Mus musculus: one gene and its partners. The protein of the gene in region 3 purifies or fractionates together with the protein of the main gene of each other region. This does not show direct contact. Links are inferred from orthologs where the notes say so. Each region holds a gene or a part of one and is shown on either strand. Other genes may lie near its edges.

Region 1 (3,996 bases), on a different chromosome or scaffold from region 3:
CCACATTGTCTAAATGAATGGCCTTTCTCGGTGTCCAACAACAGATGTCGGCTTGAACTTGTCTCCAGAAAGAAGCTAGGTCTGCAAAGTGGTCACAAGCAGACAGTGGTCTGGCCCTGGCTCAAACCTTTCCAGACAGGCCGTTCCTTATTTCTCAAACCAGCCAAGAATATGGCTGCCACTCCCACCATACCACCAGTCCCTGCATCTGCAGTTAGGATTCCTTGCAGAGTCTCTAAGGTCGCAGCGCATCTTTTATTCTGGAAACATTTTTTTAAAAAACACATATTTGTAATTTCTTATTACCAGTAAACAGAAGCTTGTGGTACAGTAGGAAGCCCATTAGCAAAGTTAGAAAAGAAAAAAAAAATCCATAAATTCCCTACACTCTTTCCCGGCCCCATAAAAAGGGCACTGTAGAGAGCACGTTTTCAAAGACCAAGTCTTCCTGACTCTGTAGTTTAGAATGGATCCCGTGCTCAGCACACACACCATGAAGCTTCTCGGGGTGGAAGGAGACTGTACCACATCTGCACACTCCCTTAGAGCGTTTCAACACCCGGTCTGTCCTACATAGGCCTTTGGCTCCCCACACTTCTCGAGGGTAGGCAGAGCAACCTCATCTCCACACACTTTACAGAACCGGGCTCACTCTACGTGCTCCATAAAAATGTTTCTGGCCCCACCAGGCCCCCACGAAGCAGCCTCGCCCTCAAGCAGAAAGCAGAGAAACCCAAGACCTCAGAGCGAGAGCGCCCCGCCGTCTCCAAGGTAACCAAAGCCGAAGCCGGGAATGCCCACGCATGCGTACAGTCGCCCTTCCTTCCCGTAACCTCAAAAAGAATGCAGCCCGTAAGATTTGCCAGAAGGCGAGAGCGCATGTGTAGTTCAACCAACACCCTGGCCTCCTTCGCCTACAGACCGCCCATCCACCCAGCCTTCGGCGCTGGATACCCTGGCCGGAAACAGTGCCCATTTTGGGGAGGCCTCGCTAGCCAATCGCTGCTGAGGAGTGGCCGGCAGGCCGACCGGATCAAGGCGTTTTATTGGCTAACTTATAGGAATGGGTGGGATCAAGGGTCGCGGTGCGGCCAAAGAAAGGAGGCGGGAAGCTAGCAAAGTCGCAGCCACGGGGGGAGGCGTGGCCCGGGGCGGGGATAGGCACGGGGGCGTGGTCGAGGAGGGGCAGCAGGGGCCCGGAGCGATCGCTGGCCAGCGAAGCGCCACACTCGCTTGTTTGAGGACAACGGCGCTCCGCCGGTAGGTGACTGGGCAGAACCCCGAGTCCTAAAGCGGGACGCCGAGGGAGCGGGCGGGGAAGGGGCGCCTCCCAGGCGGGGACTGGGTTGCAGCCGGGCTGTCCACGAGGGATGGCTGGGAGGGGTGGCCGGGTGACTACGGTCTAACCCGCTCGCACGCTCAGCGCCATCAGCGCCACGCTCGAAACGCCGTGCTCGCCTAGAACCTCCAGGCCGCGCACCCACGGGTCACACGCTTGCCCGGAACGCGCGCGGGTACTGTCTGCTTCCCTTTCCCCAACATCCGTGCCATCGAGTTCAGCCGCCCTACTGGCAGACCTGGCTCCTAAGTGTCCCCCAAGAGAAGGTGATCGCTCCACTGCCCTAGCAGTGACATGAGCAGCCTTTCCCTTTGAACTGCTTGGGATCACTTGTTCTGAGAGGATCACTGCTCTGGGCACTCAGTAGAGCAATGCTAGTCGCTGATGGTGCTGTCCTCCCTCCTCGATGGTCCTTACCCTTCTCTAATTCTGTGTTCTACTCGGAACTTTTGGAATCTGTTTATATGTACTAGTCCCGTCCTGGAAGCTCTTCCCGGCTCTGGCAACTTTCAGCCACCTGTCACCAAGTGAAAAGAAACATTTGTCTGAGGCAGAGATTCCCACCTGCTTTGGAACCTCATCATGTTCATTAACTTCAGACCTCCCCCCCTCCACTCCCCACCCCCCAGTTGAGATTAAAAGATGGCTGACAGCCCTAAAGGATGGATAGGGGTGTGCATGGGCTGTCAAGTGGATGAGTGGAGAAAAGTTTCAAATATCAGTGTCTTAATGACATGTTGTTGTTGTTGTTGTTGTTGTTAATTGGAGACAATGAACACTAATGACTGGATTAAGGGCGCTAAAAGAATGAACTGAACGAGGAGTGGCACCATGACCAGTGGACTTCGGAACACTGGCGAGTATCTAGAAACATAGTCTCTCTGAAAGATTAGAGGATTGTTTCCTAACTTCAGTTCTGCAGGGTTTTGCTTAGTAACTTTCCCATTTAGTGGTAGGTGTGGTCAGATGCATAGACTGTTGTCCAGTTGGTAAGCGAAGTACCTGAACCAGGTGTGAGGGATGATATGCCTCGTCTGTGGCCTCAGAGCCATGAGTGAGGGTGAGTTCTCCAGATCCCTGAATAAGAACAGCATAACCTAACTTTGATAGAGAAAGGGGGGGGGGTTGGGGTGATCTTTTTGCTGTTAATGTGAGAGGATGCTTTGAAGACTCTTGACTTGCTTATGATGTATGTGTGTATTTCCTCTTGTATTTAAAGTGATGTCAAAGGCAATTCCTTTGGATGGATGCCAGCTTTATGAGTTTTTCAGACGCCCTTAAGACATCTTGAAAACTAGGCATGGTGGCACACACCTGTAATCCATCACTGGGAGGCTGGGACAAGGAGGATTTGTTGTGACTTTGAAGCCTGTCAGGGCTTCATAGCAAGGCCCTGTCTCAGAGCACCAGAGAGGAAAAAGAAAGAAAGAAGACATCCTGATTTATTTGGAAGAGTGTGATAAATTTCTCAGAACAGCTCATAATAATAGTTAGTATGTCTGACTTTAATTTTAGAAATAAGTGCCCAGCTGTACATACCCAGAAATACATACCAGAAGTTTGTGAAATCAAATAGTACTACGTGATCAGGCTTCAGGCTTCAGGTCATTTTCGGATTGTTTTTGGGGTGGATGGAGCAGTTCTGAAGGTTGTTGGTTTTTTTGTTTTGTTTTGTTTTGTTTTGTTTTGTTTTGTTTGCCTCTGGTGTCTGTTAGAGTTTGTGGGAGTGGCACCACAGACAGAGACTCTGCCAAATGAACCTTTATCTCAAAAAAAAAAAAAAAAACCTGCCTGGTTTTGCCATTCATTCTTGGCAGATAGGAGTGTGGTTCCTCATTTTGGTTCCCCTGATGAACACAGATTCCTTTGTGATCGGCTCGGGCTGGAGAGGACAGGGCTCGCCCTGATTGGTTGCTCCACCCCAGACAACTGTTGTGAGATTTTTGGTGAGTTCTAGGGTCCATTCTGAGCTAGGGGCTGGGAGGAGATCGGTCGGATGTAAAACGGATAAAAGCTCAGATCTACGCTTGTTCCTTTAGGCCATCCCCCCCCCCCCTTGTCTTAAGAGTTTGCCTGTGAAGTCACTTTTAGTTTCTTTTTTTTTTAATTTTGTATTTATCTATTTATTTTTAACTTCTTGTCTCAGTGGACAGCACATGGGCTTCTTACAGGTGCTTCTCCCCCGGGAAGACCTGATTGGCTTGACAGATTTTTCCCCCCAAGAAGAAAAAAGAAAACTGAAAACTGAATTCAGACCCAGTAGCAGGTCAGCTCGCTGCACATGCAGACAGACAGACAGACAGACGGCTCCTCCGATAGCACCCATCGGCTAGATGCTTTTTTTTTCTTTTTTTCCTGGCAAAAGGTTAAAATGCAACTAAAATTCTGCTTTCGTGATTAATAAGTCACTACCGCAGTTGTGTGTGATGCTTCCTGTTTGCCCCGTTTTAGCATTTCAGTTAAACTGGAGACCTCTGAGCACCCTGGGCACTTCTGGTGGCACCATCGTGAGGTGGGTGGGGAGAAGGGTGGGCTTGGAGAGTTGGATAAGTCAGCCCTCCCTGCACACCAGGATCCCGAATAAGGGAAAGGAACGGTGGCGTGTCTTCTCGGGTAGGGCGAGCTGTTCAAGTGCGAGCACTCTGTTCACTTGGTAA
Region 2 (2,554 bases), on a different chromosome or scaffold from region 3:
CTGTCAGCCACAGGTCCAGAGATGCCAGGATACAGTGGTTAAACCAGGGCTACCCATCTGCAAGGTGACTTCCCTCCAGAATTGTTCCCGAGTATGAGCCACCAGCCCAGCCTGACCATGATGAGAGGATCCATCCCATGTCCCCAGCCAGGGGCAGAGGATGCGGGTTACCCTCTCAGCCCCGCCTCATGAATAGACTGAGGTCATCTGATAGCCAGAGTCCTGAGCCCCAGGCCCTTTTGGGGACTTTTACTGTTATTGTCACTGTATCTTTTGTTTTATTTATGGTGCTGGGGCTGGAACTCAAGGGCTGTGCATGCTGGTCAGGCCTCTGCTCTTTGTGGAGGAAGATCAAAGATTTGGCGGCTTGATCCACAGATCATGTGCGTGTGCTTTCATTTAGAGTCCCCGGTCTCATGCCCTGTAGATCCCAGACACAGCAGACTTAGGCTTGCACCTGGAATTCAGGAGCCTGTATGCATACCTAGGAAGGACTTGAGAAGCCAGCCCTGGGACCTGACATATTGGCATCCTTAGCTCACATGGCCCTTTCCTAGGATGAACACAGAGCCAAGGCTTCTCTTTTTTTTTTTTTTTTAAAGGTTTATTTATTATATTATATGTTAAGTACACTGTAGCTGTTTTCAGATGCACCAGAAGAGGACGTCAGAGCTCATTACCGGTGGTTGTGAGCCACCATGTGTTTCTGGGATTTGAACTTAGGACCTTCAGAAGAGCAGTCAGTGCTCTAAACCGCTGAGCCATCTCTCTAGCCTGAGCCAAGGCTTCTTACCTCATCATCTGACACCAATTGCTCTGTTCCCAGGCCATACCCCACTCCATGTAGCTGTCATCCACAAAGATGCAGAGATGGTCCGGCTGCTCAGGGATGCCGGAGCCGACCTCAATAAACCGGTAAGACACTGTGGTGGGCCAGTGTGGGGAAGGCACTGTCCTCTCTTCAGTCTCACTGACCTCTCTGGCACATCCTGCAGGAGCCTACGTGTGGCCGGACCCCTCTGCACCTGGCAGTAGAAGCCCAGGCAGCCAGCGTGCTGGAACTTCTCCTGAAAGCCGGTGCTGACCCCACCGCCCGCATGTATGGGGGCCGCACCCCGCTTGGCAGTGCCCTGCTCCGGCCCAACCCCATCCTTGCCCGCCTCCTCCGTGCACATGGGGCCCCTGAACCTGAGGACGAGGACGATAAGCTTAGCCCTTGCAGCAGCAGCGGCAGCGACAGTGACAGTGACAACAGAGATGAGGGCGTGAGTTGGGAGTGGGTACCCCAGCTGGAGGGTCGGGGTAAACCAGCAACGAGAAAACCTAACCGGATGGATACTGTCGGGGAATCCAGAGGAGGGACACACGAGGAGATGTGGGGAACAGTCATAGACTTGGGCAAGGGTGGCAGTGGCAGCTGGACAGCTAAGGCCATCTGTCATGTGACACACACCTTTAGCCTAGGATCCCAGGATTCAGGAGGCAGAGGCAGTGGATGTGAGTTTGAGGCCAGCAAGGGGTGCATGGTGAGACCCTATGTGGGGAGTGACGTTGGGAGCAGCAGATGGAGAGCGGTGTAGGTTGGTGACCTCGGTTAGAGTGTCTAGATCACTTGATGGTAGGGAAAGACCTCAGCCAGTGGTGAGGGGGAGCATTACTGAAGAACCCAGGGGACAGCCCACCCAGGCAGGGGTGGGTGAGATGGGAGCTCGGGGAGAAGAGCCATGCAGTGGTGGGAGAAAGCAGCGCGGAGCCGTGGCCACCAGTATGGTGTGCTGAGAGTGAGAACACTGGCTTCACGGTGACACCCATTCTTTGGGTGCTGTGACCCGGGTAGTGGGCAAGGTGGCAGCTGCCTGACCCTGTGCTACCCCTCTCTGTTCCCAGGATGAATATGATGACATCGTGGTTCACAGTGGCAGGAGCCAAAACCGACAACCGCCTTCCCCGGCATCCAAACCTCTTCCTGATGACCCCAACCCTGCCTGACTTAAGTGCTAATATTAATATAATTTCCAACTTAATAAAATTGCAGACCTGACAACCAGAGCCCAGACTGACCCTGCCTTCCTGCTTATTTCAGGTCCCGACCCTCCAGAGCCGAAGTGTGATGCGAGCCCGGGTGCTTTGCTTTGTGCTTTATTCACTCAGGGATGGAGGGGTGGGCGGGGTCCTGAGTCAGCCGGAGCCCAGCCCCTGCCCATAGGCTTCTCTCAGGCTTGGTTCTCAGGCACATCCTTGCTTCCAGTCCCTACCAGTTGGAAGTGGAGCAGAATGCCCGGTGAAAGGAGGCTCTGAGGTCAACAGTCCTGAGCCTCAGGGAGTGTGGGGAAGGAGTGGCGTGGGGTCAGCCTTCCCTCCCGAGAGCCTCCCCTAGCATGGCGGTAGCCTTCTTTAACTGCTCCTGCATGCGCTCCAGCCGCTCCACATCGTGTTCCTGGGGGAGATCAGAAGTATGGTTACCACCTCGATGGCCACTGTGAATAGCAGCTCTGCCACTTCATATGCTTGGCCTGACATCCTGTCCTAGCTGTGTGTCATAGTCAGTGAGGAC
Region 3 (4,087 bases):
ATAGCCAACCTCTGGGCACAGCAAGAGCCAAGTGGCCCACTGGACTCCGTAACGGTCCCGGGCAAGCCTGGAAGAGTGCAGAGATCTGAGCCGCGCCCTGCGCTGGGTCCGTCGTCCCGCCTCGCTGGTCCCTAGCAGAACTGGAGCTGGGTGACACCCCGCGGCCAGTCCTGGGCGAGCCTTCCCCGAAAGGGGCGCGCCTGCGTTGCTCCGGGTTGGCTACAAGAGTCCTGGAGTTAAACTTTCAACCAATAAAAAAGGGCATGGGGAGTGACGCACGGGATCGTCACGGGAATTCCCCCCCTCGGGGGGCCGAAAGGGGCTTTCCCGGCTGGAGCCCTTTGGCTGGAGAGGAGCAACGACCGGTCCGGGGAAGGGCTCGGAAAGAAGTCGGAACCAGAGCCGCCACCACGGTGAGTGGCCGGGTTCAGATCCCTGAGTGTCTAGGGAATGGAGAGGGAGGGAAGGAGGACTTTAGATGACAGGCTGGGGCTGGACGCCACCTCCAGTGAGCGCGCACAGGAACAGGACACTTTGCTACACATCAGCGACACGTCTGCCTGCCCTTAGCTTGCCTGTGCACAGCCGGCCGGTGTGAGCCCCGCACACGCACTCACAGCGCACCCGTGCACCGGCGCCTGCGCACGGACATCCAGACGTGCACGGACGTGTGCCCACACTGGGCAGTACAAGGACTCACCTGTGTGGATGAACGTTCACTTGCACGTGCCATGATGCCACCACTCACCCGGCACACAAGACATTAGGGCTGAAACGCATATTCCTGCAACGGACACATGCGCGTTACACTGGCTTTGGGATTGGAGTCGCCAGGGAGGGCGGGATGCTCCCGTTTGACCGGCCACCGGGAGCAGGTGCAGCGGGAGAATCCGGGAAGCTAAGACGGAATCGCTAGAGACCGTGGAGGGGGAAACTCCTCCCCCCCACACACACCCTGAGGCCCGAATCATATTCTCTGGTCAGAGCCCCGGAGGCCCCACTGGAAGAACCCCCGCCTACGGGCCATTCGGAAAAGGGGCCTCCGACGGCAGGAATGTCCCCACAAAAGCCCCTGGGTGAATCAGCCGTGTCCTCCACGCTGGCTGAAAATCCCAAGTTTGCTCCAGGCTGCGGAGAGGGGGCGAGGCGGCTAGGCCCCGACTGAGCCCCAGGGGCTACAGAGGCTGCCCGGGAACCAGGAACCGCCTGGGCCTCCCGCCCCTCCCGCTGCGGGGGCGTGGCCCCGGCGTCATTTCCAGGCCCGCCCCCTCCGGCTCCGCCTCCCCCTGGTATTTTCGGGACTTTCCTAAGCAGCACTAACTTTCTGCCCCTTTCCCGGGCCAGCCCCGCTCCGGATCTCGACCTCCACCGGATCTTACCCGCCACGCCCGGACGGGCGGCTGGAGGAGATCGGACCCTCCCCCAGATCTGAGCCCCCCTCCCCTACCCATCCCTCTCCCCCTGCCCACCCCTATCCTGATATCTTTCACTCTTCCCCCTCCCACGCCTCTCTTCACCTTAGGCGGGCGTCCGAAACTCTGGAAAGCTGAACCGGGGCCCGAAGCCGCAAGACACAGCAGGGCCTAGCCCAGAGATATGGACAATTGCTACGATCCAGTGAGTCACACTGCCTGACCCTGAGGGCGGCGGGTGCCCTCTGTGTCTGCTTGTCAATTGGACGCTCCTCCACTCCCCTACTTCTGCACTGTCTTCAAATTGTCTTAGTCTGCCAGTCTGTGCTGTCTGCAAACCCTGCCCAGAAATGAGCTTCCTCATAGCTTGAGGAGGAGTCCAGGGAGTGACTGCAGAGGGCTTGGGAGGGGGTGGTTGGGGGGACCCTTGATTCAGCTGCCACCTTCTCTGTCTATAACGCAGGGCCTGGATGGCATCCCCGAATATGATGATTTTGAATTCAGCCCCTCCATCGTGGAGCCTAAGGATCCAGCCCCTGAGACAGGTCAGTAAGTCTTTGGCCTCGCAGTATCTCAGAACCTAGAGGAGAGTGAGCATGTCCCCTGGAGGCCCCACTGAGGGATGGTCTCAGAGATCCTGGCTCAGCAAGGCCCCTCTATTTCCAGCTGATGGCCCCTATCTGGTGATTGTGGAACAGCCCAAACAGGTGAGTGAGTGACAGAGAGTGGTGGCTTCACCTTTGGGGAAAAGGTGGGGCGGGGGGGGGGAGGGTAGTTATACCTACTGATCAGATTAAATAGCTTGCTGCTGATATGTTGGGGGCTTATGAGAAGGAGGTACACTTTTGGTCACTGTGGTCAGTGATGGCTAGTGGTTGCCTTGTGGGGATGACGGGGGGGGGGGGGGGGTTGCCTCTCCTGATCACAATGTCTCTGCTATGGAACCTTCAGCGAGGCTTCAGATTTCGATATGGCTGTGAAGGCCCCTCCCATGGAGGTTTGCCAGGTGCCTCCAGTGAGAAGGGCCGGAAGACCTATCCTACTGTCAAGGTGAGCTCAGATGACACCGGAGGGTAGGGATGGTGTATGGGGCAACTACTGACTATCCTTTGCCATTCTCAGATCTGTAACTATGAGGGACCGGCCAAGATTGAGGTGGACCTGGTGACACACAGTGACCCACCTCGTGCGCATGCCCACAGTCTGGTGGGCAAGCAGTGTTCAGAGTTGGGAGTGTGCGCTGTGTCTGTAGGACCCAAGGACATGACTGCTCAGTAGGTGGCCCTGGCCCCTGGCCCCCAGTGGGATGCTCATTGCCTGCCAGCCTTAGGTCTCATCTCAGGCCACCTGTGTGACTAGCACACAAAGTGGGAAGATTTACTTTGGCCCAGGAACCTCAGAGCTCAACTATAAAGAGCAGTTTCCTTGGAGAACAGAGCCAGGATGAGCCTGACCATGGGGGGTGGAGCGTGGGGGTGGAGGTGCCTCAGGAGGAAAGAGCCTCATGGTCAAAGAGGACAAAGCCTCCTCCTTGTCCTCTCCAGATTTAATAATCTGGGTGTCCTGCATGTAACCAAGAAGAACATGATGGAGATTATGATCCAGAAACTTCAGAGGCAGCGTCTCCGCTCCAAGCCTCAGGGCCTTACAGGTATGGTAACAAAAGGTGTTCCGAGAGGTGTTCCTAGAGGAGCCGGGAAGAGCAGCCCAGAGCTCACACCACCCACATTGTCCATCCAGAGGCTGAGCGGCGGGAGCTAGAGCAGGAGGCCAAGGAGCTGAAGAAAGTCATGGATCTGAGCATTGTACGGCTGCGCTTCTCAGCTTTCCTTCGAGCTAGCGATGGCTCCTTCTCCTTGCCCCTGAAGCCTGTGATCTCCCAGCCCATCCATGACAGCAGTGAGTATTCTGCAGGGGGCCAAGCATGCATTCCCAAAAGAGCGCTTGAGATACCTTCCAGCTATGGGTCTGAACCTGGCCCTGCCACGTGTGGGGTGGTGAGTGCTCGGTAGTCAGAACATCTGAGTGTTGCTTCTGAGTGGTAAATGTGAATACTGCATTTCCTGAAGTTTGATAATGACCCCACCGAGCCTCCGATCCCATCAATGTGTCCCTAACCCATCCCCCACCTTATAGAGTCTCCAGGGGCCTCGAACCTGAAGATCTCCCGAATGGACAAGACAGCGGGTTCCGTGCGCGGTGGAGACGAAGTTTATTTGCTCTGTGATAAGGTGCAAAAAGGTGAGGCAGAAGCCCTCTGGGAGCTGGAAACGCTGGCTGTAAGGGTAATTTCGGGATCCATGCAGCGGGGCTGCAGGCTCTCCCTGTGGCTAAGCCGCACTTTTCTCTGTAGACGACATTGAGGTTCGGTTCTATGAGGATGATGAGAATGGATGGCAAGCCTTTGGGGACTTCTCTCCCACAGACGTTCATAAACAGGTACTGAGGGACTAGGGCCTGTCCTGGAGACAGAACTACGAAGAAACCTTACTGACACCATGTTGCTCTCCCATCCTCCACCCCAGTATGCCATTGTGTTCCGGACACCGCCCTATCACAAGATGAAGATCGAGAGGCCTGTAACGGTGTTCCTGCAGCTGAAACGCAAGCGTGGGGGCGATGTCTCGGACTCCAAACAGTTCACATATTACCCTCTGGTGGAAGGTGAGTCGGGC
Region 4 (3,500 bases), on a different chromosome or scaffold from region 3:
CCCAGATACTGGGCTGTGCAGCACTGAACCTCCATTTGTTCTATCTCCATTCTCTCTCACAGTGACTGTGGGAGGTGCTGGTATGAACACGCAAAGATGAGACTGTATGTGCACTGCTGTGGAAATTAGCACAGTGACTCCTAAATACACAAACGCAGTGCAGGATGCAGGACTTTCACTTCTGCATGTATATGCAAAAGGATGAAAAGCAGAGATGTGAACGGCTGTCCATACAAGTCACCGTGCCTTTCCATAGATGAACACCAAATGCAGCAGTGCACCCTGAAATGCTGCTCGCCTTAACAGAGGACACGGGGATACACGCTGTGACATTTTGCTCAGTGAATAAGGCAATCACAAAAGGACAAATGTTGTATAATTTCACTTATCATAGTTTCCTACAACAGTAAACTTATAAAGCATGTAGGCAACAGGAATGGAAGAATGGGGAGAATATCACTGCATCCTACTCAATAAAATGGCTTGAACTCACTATGGAGACCAAGATGGCCTCTAGCTTTCAGCAATCCTGTCTCTGCCTCCTAAGTGCTATGAGTACAATGAACCCCATTACCTCAGGTTATTATCACAGTCTGGACTGCCCTGGAACTTGCTATATAAACCAAGCTGTTCAGAATCATTTTTACGAAATATAGTTTTTTAAGAGGACATTTAAAAAGAACTCTTAAGCTAGGTATGTGGCATACCCTTTTAATTCCATATCCTTTTAATTCAGGAGGCAGAGGAAAGTGGATCTTCATGAGTTCAAGGCCAGCCTGGTCTGTATAGAGACACCCTGTCTCAAGGGGAAAAAAGATTCTGAGAAAGAAGGTAAGGCAGAGTTGATTCACCGTGGTTTACATAAAACAAAACAAAAAACCCGCACAACTTAAGAAGAGGATCTTATCAGTTAATCTAGGAACAGCCAGAGGTTGACTGTAGAACCAGGCTCAGCAAGAAGCACCTGAGATCCTACCCTGGAGTCTTCCCTCCTCCGCCTCACTCGTCAGTGCTCTCTACCTGGTCACACGGCTGCCAAGGGGCCTGATCTATAGAACAGAGCATTACCATTCCCCCCTCAAGCATTTTGCCCCTCAGAAACAGCTATTTTTTTCTAAATGATTACTTTTCTAGATACCTGTTTACAAAACAGAAGATTCTCCCTTTGAAGCCAAACTAAACTATACTTAATAATAGAAGGTCCACAACAGGGAGACTAGGATGAAGCAGTGCCATGTCCCCAGCATTTACAAATGTTCAGCTCACAGGAGGTGCACAGTAAGTGTTTATTCGAGGAGTATATACAATACTCAATTCTGTGGGTATTTAACTGCAGATTTGTGGCTTCCTTTAAATCAGGTGGCCTCCTTTCCTGTTGGGATCAAGGAAGTGAACAGACGCAGACGCATTCTGGCAGGCACCTGAGCCAGCCATCTACTCTCACTCACAGCCAAGTTATTCTGTTAACTTGTTTCCAGAGTAGAAACACATCTGTGTGTGATTCTGAACTTACCCTCTTCTTTACATTTCTCTCTCCAGAGAAGGTTATCCTCAGCCAAAATTCTCCAGTATCGACAAGTCTGAGCCGCTTGCAGCAGGTCTTTGGGTTCCAGGAATGAAAGCACATAGAGTGCCAACTATGGAAAAGGAAATAGGGAAGGCATACTCACACTTCAAAAAAAAAAAAAAAAAATCACAGAAAAAAAGGTTACTCTACCCAGGCTGAGCATCTTGCTAGGACTACTGCATTTCAGTGGCTGAACAAATCAAGAAAAGCAGGATTTTAAGAGCAAAGAAAATGCTCACTAATCTCATATTAGGAATCTGAGGCTTTATTCTGGGTGACCTGTGATTTTATTGGTATTTACTTACAAGGTGAGAGCAATGCCACTTATCACAGGTTTCTTGTGTGAGCCTAGTGCTCAAGCACTTAGATAACCTAAATAAATGTTGATAAAGAGACTTGAAATTGTTCACACCAATTATCAAAAATATATATATATACAAGTACATTTTGTGTAATAAATGGTAATAAAGTTTTAAATAACATAATTCCCTATAGGGTTAAGCCTATACCATTATTCTTCCACATAGACATAAAGCACTTCCCAAGTGAAGAACACCCCAGTAGCAGGAAACAAAACACCATAGCTGATATGCTAAGCCAGGGCTCTCTCCTTCCGAACATCTTTTTTCCTCAGGAAGTCTTTGAAAGAACACCGAAGGCAAGAGAATCTTTTGGGGCTTTGCCTTTTGTTAATCACCTGTGCTTACTTCTTAAATTCTAAAACACTTTCAAATTCTGGAGCTTGGTGATGACTCAGTCAGTAACATTTCATGTGTAATGATGAAGATAAGGGCTTGGATCCCATCTTGTAAAAGGCTAGGCATGGCAATTCTAGCTACAGTCACTGCTCACTGGACAGCTGCCACTCTAGCTGAATGGGTAAGCTCTCGATTCAGTGGTAGACCACATCTGCATGTACATATGTACACCCACTTGAACACATGAACATACTACACATATGCATATTCTAGAGGAGGGTATCGGCCATGTAAAATAATCAAGATGAATATCTACTTCACTTACAAAAAATGTCCCCTATTATTTTACGCCCCGATGGAAGCAAAGGAGATCTCATGTTACTTTTCTAAGTTTATTCAAAGAGTTCTGCTGTAGAAAAAGGGCACAAGAATAAACACTTTTCTTCTGGGACAATGTCATTTTTAAAAAGTACTCCAAAAGGGAAAAGATACCGGGGGGGGGGGGGAATATCAATTTTGCTTTTCCCCAGAGTTGTACTTCACTCCACTGATTTTACTCAAATCTAATGCCAGATTATATCTAGGACTATATTTAACACCACTAGGAATTTAGAGTAATTATCTAAGAAAAGAGCAAGCAAAACTCTTTCTGTTCAAATTTGAGGGTTCAGGATCATTGTATGAATGATGTGTTAGTTTTTTGTGCTATTTAACTGATATTTATTACATGTATATAGTAATTTTAAAAAATATAGGCTATGAGGATACTATTTAATATCACATTATTCCTTTCTTTTGATAAAAATTAAGCTATTAAGTCTAATGTCAATACGTGCATTATATTTAAACTATAAGCCACACATGGCTATATGATTAAGAGCTGTAAGAATCCAATTTTTATGTCATCTCTCTCTCCTCTCTTTCTCTCTCTGATGGATGATGATTAGTAGAAATGCCAAAAAGGAATATAGGTAAAATTCTATATGTTAAAAAAATTGTATAATGTAATAACCAGAGAAATACAACAATTATAAAATTTCTGATTTGAAGGGGCATTAGATAATTAACAAAATAAAAACAAAAATAATGTTGCTGCTTAATGAACCCAGAATTTTGAAAACATCCACTATAAATAATAAACACAACTAAATAACTAAAAAAATAACCAAATAACTAAAGCCAGCCTTTAGATAACCTAGGGAAAAAATTCTTGAAGAAACTCAGTGACTCTCACA
Region 5 (3,500 bases), about 2.2 Mb from region 3:
AGTTCCCAGCAACCTGTTTAGGGCAGTGAAAGCCTGGCCCACCCACTGTTCTAAGTAAGCAGTGTTAATCGTGTAAGAAAACTAGTCTCCTGGCCAAGGGCTGCATCTGTGTTGGAATTTGGGTTAGTAAGGGTTAAATCAACCAGACTATTCTCTCAAACACAGGCAACATAAGTCTCTTAAGAATTAAACATACAACCATGCATAAATTTACTTTTTAGAAAATATGTATGTCTGTACGTGTGGGTGTATTTCATTTGTATAGGGGTACCCAGAGTCCAGAAGAGGGCATCAGATTCTCCTGGAGATGTTGTTATAGGCACTTGTGAGCCACCTGACTTGAGTGCTGGGATACAAATCTGGGTTCTCTGGAAGAGCAGCAAGGGCTTTTGACAACTATACCTAGCCTTGTCACTTTAATTTTTGATGTATAGCTGTCAATGAACTATACTTCAATGTCTTAGAATTTATAGTTAATTTAAATTTTTTTTAAATCCATGTGTTAATTTAAATGGTGTGGTAGTTTTTCATGGGGCGATGTGAACAGTCCATTTACCCCAGACAGTACACCAGTGACAGACAAGTCATGACTTTGTCCTGGTCGTGTTTGGCAAATCTGAATTTCCTCAGGATTACTTAGAGGTGCTTCAGGAGCTACATTTCTGAAGAAAATCTCTCCTCTTTCTGTCTCTCTGCAAGAGAACCTCTTAGGTTCTTGAAGAGGGGTAAGGCCTCCTGCACCCCTCTCTGTTTCATGGCAGACCGTTAGTGGACCTCACCTTACCTATGTAGTCACTGCTTCTGAGAGCTGTGACAGCTGAGAGCTAAGACAACAGCAGTGCCACACTTCAAGGACAGTGTTCTTCAGCAAAAGGAGAAATTGTGTAGACTGCTTGCAGCTTTTTGAGCATCTTTAAGGAACGTCCTGTTTGGAAATTGATGTGTTCTGCAAAGGAGAGGTTGTATAGACTACTAACTGAAGTCGTTTCTAGATCACTTGTACAGCGACAGCACAGAGATGGTGAAGATCATCGTGCACACCGTGCAGAGTCAGGACCGTGTTCTCAAGGAGCTGTTTGGTCACCTGAGGTAGAAAAATTGCTTTATTCCCTCCTAAATGCCATTATATTTGTGTTCCTTAAAAATCATAATACTCCTTTTTGATAAATAATAATTGTCAGTATCTTATAAAACATGGTGCTGTGTAAGCCCTGAACATATGCATTACTTTCTATTTTATTTATATGTATGGGTATTTTGCCTGTATGCTTGCCCCACGTATGTGAGGCCAGGGGCATAAGATGTGGAACTGGACTTACAGATGGATGTGACTGGTGCTGGGAATTGAACCCAGGTCCTCTGGAAATGCAGCCAGTGCTCTGACCCTCTGAGCTATGTGTCTGGCTCCTCATTCACTGCTTTTGAGGCCATCCGTTCACTGGTGTGCTGGTTGTGCTTTGTCTCCTCTGGGTGGGGCATGGTGGACAGTTATACAGAGAGGTGTGGCAAGTATCTGACACTGACTCAATCTTTCCAGCAAGTTGTTGGGCTGCAAGCAGAAGATTATTGATCTACTCCCCAAGGTGGAAGTGGCCCTCAGTAACATCAAAGAAGCTGACAATACTGTCATGTTTATGCAGGGAAAGAGGCAGAAAGAAATTTGGCACCTCCTTAAAATTGCCTGTGTAAGTAATTATTAGTGAAGGTAATACTGAGTTACTGTTATTTTCTGCCACAGAGGCTTTTTTATTGCTTTAAGGTATGTCCTTTGAATAGTTATACTTTTTTGTTTGGTAGGTTTTTTGTTTTTTTTGAGACAGGGTTTCTCTGTGTAGCCCTGGCTGTCCTGTAACTCACTCTGTAGACCAGGCTGGCCTCAAACTCAGAAATCCACCTGCCTCTGCCTCCTGAGTGCTGGGATTAAAGGTGTATGCCACCACAGCCCGGCGAATATTTATACTTTATATTGGGTTCACACGTTCCTTGTTCAGTATCCAAGTAATTATAGAGATAGGATGTTTGTATTATCACTCTCCTTTCCAGTGCTGCTGCTGGTGGACGTGGTGGTGGTGGACATGGTGGTGGTGGTATATGTGTGGTTGTTTGTTTCTTTTGAGATAAAAGCTCTCTCTAGCCTAGACTGGAAGCTAAACTACCTCACAGCAATTTTCCTGCCTCCAGTTGCTGAGATTAGAAGTGTGAGCCACCATACCGAGCTCAGTCCCCGTTTTACAGTCCTCCCTACTCTGGATCACTGTGGTTGCCCAACCCAACATGGAGTAAATGCATCTGACTTGTTAACAAGTCAGCCTTGTTCAGCTGTCCCCTTCCCCCAAACAAAAGCTGAATTAGAGGTATTCGACTCATTTAGCTTTAGTCTGTGTAGATAGAAACACTCAGTTTTAGTCAGTGAAGAAAAGGGGCCAGAGATTACAGTATATTTAATAGAGGTGAGACTAGTTTTGTTCATAAACAGTCCAGGTTTTATAAAGTAATAATTGAATTATATATCTTAGAATATAGTTTTTTTTAAATGGTGTGAATCAACAGGTGCTCGCCTGTAACTTATTGTGTGTGTGCATGTGTTTTTTCCTTCAGACACAGAGTTCTGCCCGCTCTCTTGTAGGATACAGTCTAGAAGGCACAGTAACCCCTCCAGTATCAGCATGGCTGCCCCCTACATTAGCAGACCGTGAACATCCTCTGACATGTGTGGTAACTCCTCAAGATGGGTGGGTTTACTTTGTAACAATAGGCAGTTGTGTTTCAGGGAAAGGGGGAGGACAGAGGTGGCAAGCATGGTGGTTAATGGTGCCTTCAGACCCGGGCTCTCAGTTTTCTTCTTCTTCTTTTTTTTTTTTTTTTTTTTGGTTTTTGGTTTTTGGTTTTTGGAGATAGGAGATAGGATTTCTCTGTATAGTTCTCACTGTCCTAGAACTCACTCTGTAGACCAGACTGGCCTCAAACTTAGAAATCCACCTGCCTCTGCCTCCCGAGTGCTGGGATTAAAGGCGTGCACCACCACGCCTGGCTTTTGTGAGGTCTATTTCTTAAATTAAAATTTTTCAGTGCTTTAAATCATTTGCAAGTAAGAACTCAGATTTGCAGCGCTGTATTTTGTCTCTAGTTCCTCCTCTTCTGCTTAAAGCTGAATGTCTGTCCGTCTGTTATTTTCCCAGCGTAAGGTGTGCCGTGGTCAGGAGGCTCTTTGCTAGCTTGTGCACTGTCGCTTTTCTCTCGGCTCATGGAGACCTCCACAGCACCAAGCACTTCCCACAGGTCTCCCCCTGATTAGTTTTACAGACATGCTCTCATGTTACATGGCTGCTCGGGAGGTCACATAGTGGCATGCTCTGTGCTGCCTTTATGAGAGAGCAAGCACATGGCAGGAAGGCAAGCGCTTCCAGGTATTTCCTTGTAAAGAAAGCGAGTTCCAGGGCAGGTCTCGGGCTCACTAACTGTGTGGCCCAGGATGAGCATGTAAACAAGTAGAGTGGAGA
Region 6 (4,015 bases), on a different chromosome or scaffold from region 3:
TAACAGTCCGTCAACATTAGACAAGGCCATTCTGTGGCCTTAGCTTATGGATCAAGACAAAAACAAGACCACCCCATAATCATTTGTGAACACAGATAAAACATGGACATTGTCCAAGTCCCTGAAACACAGCTACAAGACTAAACACTTGAATCTGGCTAACAGGAGAGGCTGTCAACAATTACTGGATTAGTTTTAATCTAATATAACTTCCCATAGATAAGGCTGAGGTGCCCAGTCTTATACCCCCACTTCCCGGCAGTATCTGCTCCAAAGCCCCTTCAAATCCTTTTCTACATTACCTAAGGTCTCTTACTGAGACGTCCCTGCTTCATCATGGTGTATGTTCATTTCTACTTCAGCTAGGAAAAAACCCACCTTGTTCAACTATCAGCGTGTTCCTGGGGGCTTTTGGTTCGAGGGTATTGACAGACTTGGAAGTCACAAGGAGTTAGAGGTTCTCTGAAGTCTCTAGATGCGTTTCTTCATATCATTTCTAACTCTTAGTCAATGTCTGCTGTCTTCCCACTAGAATTAAGCTGAATAAGAACAGAGGTCTCTCCGGTCATTCCCAGTGCTTAGGGCAGTACTAGTAGAAACTGAATGCTTAAAAATAAGTGTCTTCGGCCGGGCGGTGGTGGCGCACGCCTTTGAGGAGGTGGAGGCAGGCAGATTTCTGAGTTCGAGGACAGCCTGGTCTACAAAGTGAGTTCCAGGACAGCCAGGTATACAGAGAAACCCTGTCTCGGAAAAAAAAAAAAGTGTCTTCAAAATGTATAGCTTCTTTCTCATGGCTCAGCTCCTCCCAGTCAGTGTGGCAGATCTCCACACACCGCTTTCCCAGCTCAGTCTCCAAACTCTTAGATGCCCATCTTCCTTTAATTGTGTCTTCGACCTCGCGGGCCCCCTCCCACACTTCCTAGTGCAACCTGGGACCCACCTGTCTCCACCATCTGTCCCTACCAAATGCAACACACACGGAACGGCAGCGCTGCAGCCTAGACGACTAGTGGGCACCGCAGACACCCACTGCGCATGTGCGGAGATCGCTCGCTCGCACTGCAAAGATCTCCGACAAGTGAGGAGTTGCCTCGGAGTTTCCGTCCAGGTCCGTGCGGCTACGGGCTGCCAGGAAGTCAGGAACGACCAACCGGAAGAAGACCTCGCGCGCGAGGATTTCTGGGACAAGTAGTCGCGGCGCTCGCGAGGCCCTATCGCGAGCAAGCCCTAGATACTCCAGCTCTGCACGTCCGGCACTCACAGCCCTGCGCTCCCCTAGGTGCTCTCTCCGGTGGCAGAAGCCGGCAGATTGGACCAAGCGGCTTCTTGCTCCCACAAAGCTGCGCGAGCCGCCGCGGCTGCCGGGAGTTGTAGTCTTCGCTGTGCGTCCTGCGTCGGCCGAGGGTGAGGGCGGAGCTGCGGGCGGCCCGGGCGGGCTGGCAGCTAGAGTGGGTGCGAGAGCTGCCTCCACCGCCGCCGCCGCCACCGCCTCCTCCGCCCGGGCCGATCGCTGCTGAGCGGAGAGAGCGAGGCGGGGCCGCCGGGGCCGCCATGGAGCCCGACTCGGTGATTGAAGACAAGACCATCGAGCTCATGGTGAGTGCGGCCCACTGGCCTTCAGTTCTTCCGGCCGGCCGGCGGCCGGGGGGCCTGCCCACCCCGGCGTCCGCGCCAGGCCAGCCCTCGTTCCCCGCCGCCTGGGCCCGGCCGCCCCCCTGCTATGGCTCGTTGCTGACGCTTCGCGCTCTTGGGCCGGCACGGCCTCCACTCCCCGCGGCTCCCCCAACCCCCTCCTTGCCGGGCTCCGGCCAGTCTCCGGCGCCCCAGCCTCGCTCCTGCCGGAGCCACTGCTCACTCTTGCCTTGCCATCACACTCTGTTTTTAGAAGGGGATTTCTTTTTCCCTTCCCTGGATTCCTCTGGCCGGGCCTGCATCGCGCCTCCCAGCCTCGCTCAAGCTGAGGGTGATGGTGGTGGAAGGGAGTCCGAGACCAGTTGGAGCCGCTTCGGCCTCCATAACCTAGGCGCGGGGGGTGGGGTGGGGTGGGGTGGGGTGGGTGGTAGGGGTGGGTCTCAGCACCCTCGCCCCAAGCTACCGCTGTATGGATGCCAGGATAGCCCCATTGGACTGGGATGTTGGGGGTGCCTACGAGTCTGAGGCTGTTCCGGATAAGGGGCCTATTTTCCGGGCCCCTGCGGTGTCAGGCTTCTTGGACAAAGGGTTTCCTACCCTGCCGTGAAGGATGTTTGTATAGCAAGGCCCTAGGTACTCTTGAATTCCATCCCCCAGGAAAGGGAAACCATAACTTTTATCATTTGGGAAATGAGAGGGGAGGGAGAAGAGGTCGCGCTCATCACTGCCACCCTCTCTTATTTTAATAATAAAAAATGGGAGGGGGGTTTCTTGGCCCACGGATAAGCAGCGATCCCTGTACTGTTAGGAACCATTGGTAGCCAGCCTGGTCAGGTCTCCCCGGACACCCCTAACCCGTTTCTGACCTCAGACTTGGTGCTAGAAAGGTTTTTGGAAACAGGACTCTGAGTCTGGGAAAGTGAAGGATTTGCTCATTGGCGGAAGAAATAAAGTATGGCTGACTGGTATTACCTGCCAGTTTGAACGTGAGGGAAATCAAACTGGGCCCAGGAGAGTTGGGGAGGAAATCAGCCTCTGCAAATGAACATACAAAGGGCTTCTTCCTGTGAAAACCTTGATAGTTTTCTTTGTATCTCTACTGATATAGTAACAACTAGTATCTGCTCCACAGTATTAAGAAAAGGTGAAAGATCTGCTGAACTTAGCAAGATGTTTTCCTCGTCAGAGTTTCTCCAGTGTGAATCGCTTATTGAGTCAGTGATTCCACTGGGTAGGGTTGGTGACATCAGAGCCACTTCCCCCATTTAATGCTATAAATAATAAATGGTGATACTGAAAGTCTGTTGGATAGCCTCATGGTTTCTGTGGATGATGTTATCCAGGGAGCTGAGGTACACGTTTTAAAATGGAAGTATAGTAGCATAAAATACAGAGTCTCATGTCTGCTGGACTCTGCACAATGTGCAGAACTGGATTGTTGAAAATTAAACCTGGAAGTTTCTGGTTGGTTGTATGTGTTGAAAGGAATTCTGTCACTTTATCTTCAGGTTCTGAGGACTTTTTTCCATTTTCAGAATCGAATTGTTGGTTATAACAGTTTGGGAAACTTTGATAGTTATTTTAACAAAATACCTTTTTTTTTTTTTTTTTTTTTTTTTTTGGTTTTTGGTTTTTGGAGACAGGATTTCTCTGTGTAGCCCTGGCTGTCCTGGAACTCACTCTGTAGACCAGGCTGGCCACCAACTCAGAAATCCGCCTGCCTCTGCCTCCCAAGTGCTGGGATTAAAGGCGTGTGCCACCACTGCCTGGCGACAAAATATCTTTAAAAAGTTGTTGTTTAATAGGGAACAAAATAGCCATGAAAGGAGTTACAGAGACAAAGTTTGGAGCTAAGACAAAAGGATGGACTATCCAGAGACCACCCCTCCTGGGGATCCATCCCATAATCAGCCACCAAACCCAGACACTATTGCATATGCCAGCAAGATTTTGCTGAAGGGATCCTGTTATAGCTGTCTCGTATGAGGCTATGCCAGTGCCTGGCAAATACAGAAGTGGATGCTCACAGTCATCTATAGGATGGAACACAGGGCCCCCAGTGGAGGAGCTAGAGAAAGTACCCAAGGAGTTGAAGGGGTCTGCAACCCTATAGGTAGAACAACAATATGAACTAAGCAGTACCCCCAGAGCTCGTGTCTCTGCTGCATATGTATCAGAAGATGGCCTAGTCAGCCATCACTGGGAAGAGAGGCCCCTAGGTCTTGCAAACTTTATGTGCCCCAGTACAGGGGAATGCCAGGGCCAAGAAGTGGTAGTGGGTGGGTAGGGGAGCAGGGCAGGAGGAGGGTATAGGGAACTTTCCGGATAGCATTTGAAATGTAAATAAAGAAAATATCTAATTAAAAAAAAAGTTGTTTATGTA

What was found.
Region 1: the proteins of Nfkb2 (region 3) and Map3k14 purify together in Homo sapiens (affinity purification with mass spectrometry; 6 studies listed by BioGRID and IntAct, with this or other methods). This does not show direct contact. The link is inferred for Mus musculus from reciprocal best matches to the Homo sapiens genes NFKB2 and MAP3K14.
Region 2: the proteins of Nfkb2 (region 3) and Nfkbib purify together in Homo sapiens (affinity purification with mass spectrometry; 4 studies listed by BioGRID and IntAct, counting the BioPlex papers as one, with this or other methods). This does not show direct contact. The link is inferred for Mus musculus from reciprocal best matches to the Homo sapiens genes NFKB2 and NFKBIB.
Region 4: the proteins of Nfkb2 (region 3) and Fbxw7 purify together in Homo sapiens (affinity purification with mass spectrometry; 7 studies listed by BioGRID and IntAct, with this or other methods). This does not show direct contact. The link is inferred for Mus musculus from reciprocal best matches to the Homo sapiens genes NFKB2 and FBXW7.
Region 5: the proteins of Nfkb2 (region 3) and Chuk purify together in Homo sapiens (affinity purification with western blotting; 4 studies listed by BioGRID and IntAct, with this or other methods). This does not show direct contact. The link is inferred for Mus musculus from reciprocal best matches to the Homo sapiens genes NFKB2 and CHUK.
Region 6: the proteins of Nfkb2 (region 3) and Fbxw11 purify together in Homo sapiens (affinity purification with mass spectrometry; 8 studies listed by BioGRID and IntAct, with this or other methods). This does not show direct contact. The link is inferred for Mus musculus from reciprocal best matches to the Homo sapiens genes NFKB2 and FBXW11.

The regions. Positions count from the first base shown.
Region 1 is NC_000077.6:103,264,602-103,268,597, reverse strand, and holds the start of Map3k14 (mitogen-activated protein kinase kinase kinase 14), read left to right. Parts: upstream 1-1,196; 5' UTR 1,197-1,260; intron 1,261-3,996.
Region 2 is NC_000073.6:28,758,538-28,761,091, reverse strand, and holds the end of Nfkbib (NF-kappa-B inhibitor beta), read left to right. Parts: intron 1-826; coding exon 827-915; intron 916-995; coding exon 996-1,265; intron 1,266-1,887; coding exon 1,888-1,989; 3' UTR 1,990-2,054; downstream 2,055-2,554. Other genes in the region: Ccer2 (coiled-coil domain-containing glutamate-rich protein 2 precursor), read right to left, coding at 2,348-2,437. UniProt on the Homo sapiens protein: Inhibits NF-kappa-B by complexing with and trapping it in the cytoplasm.
Region 3 is NC_000085.6:46,304,408-46,308,494, forward strand, and holds the start of Nfkb2 (nuclear factor NF-kappa-B p100 subunit), read left to right. Parts: upstream 1-1,287; 5' UTR 1,288-1,596; coding exon 1,597-1,617; intron 1,618-1,875; coding exon 1,876-1,957; intron 1,958-2,078; coding exon 2,079-2,119; intron 2,120-2,363; coding exon 2,364-2,462; intron 2,463-2,534; coding exon 2,535-2,686; intron 2,687-2,956; coding exon 2,957-3,063; intron 3,064-3,152; coding exon 3,153-3,311; intron 3,312-3,548; coding exon 3,549-3,653; intron 3,654-3,765; coding exon 3,766-3,851; intron 3,852-3,937; coding exon 3,938-4,076; intron 4,077-4,087. UniProt on the Homo sapiens protein: NF-kappa-B is a pleiotropic transcription factor present in almost all cell types and is the endpoint of a series of signal transduction events that are initiated by a vast array of stimuli related to many biological processes such as inflammation, immunity, differentiation, cell growth, tumorigenesis and apoptosis.
Region 4 is NC_000069.6:84,965,577-84,969,076, reverse strand, and holds part of Fbxw7 (F-box/WD repeat-containing protein 7), read right to left. Parts: intron 1,638-3,500; coding exon 1,514-1,637; intron 1-1,513. UniProt on the Homo sapiens protein: Substrate recognition component of a SCF (SKP1-CUL1-F-box protein) E3 ubiquitin-protein ligase complex which mediates the ubiquitination and subsequent proteasomal degradation of target proteins.
Region 5 is NC_000085.6:44,076,478-44,079,977, reverse strand, and holds part of Chuk (inhibitor of nuclear factor kappa-B kinase subunit alpha), read left to right. Parts: intron 1-992; coding exon 993-1,089; intron 1,090-1,537; coding exon 1,538-1,685; intron 1,686-2,598; coding exon 2,599-2,732; coding exon of another isoform or gene 2,733-2,898; exon of another isoform or gene 2,899-3,500.
Region 6 is NC_000077.6:32,641,340-32,645,354, forward strand, and holds the start of Fbxw11 (F-box/WD repeat-containing protein 11), read left to right. Parts: upstream 1-1,215; 5' UTR 1,216-1,551; coding exon 1,552-1,596; intron 1,597-4,015.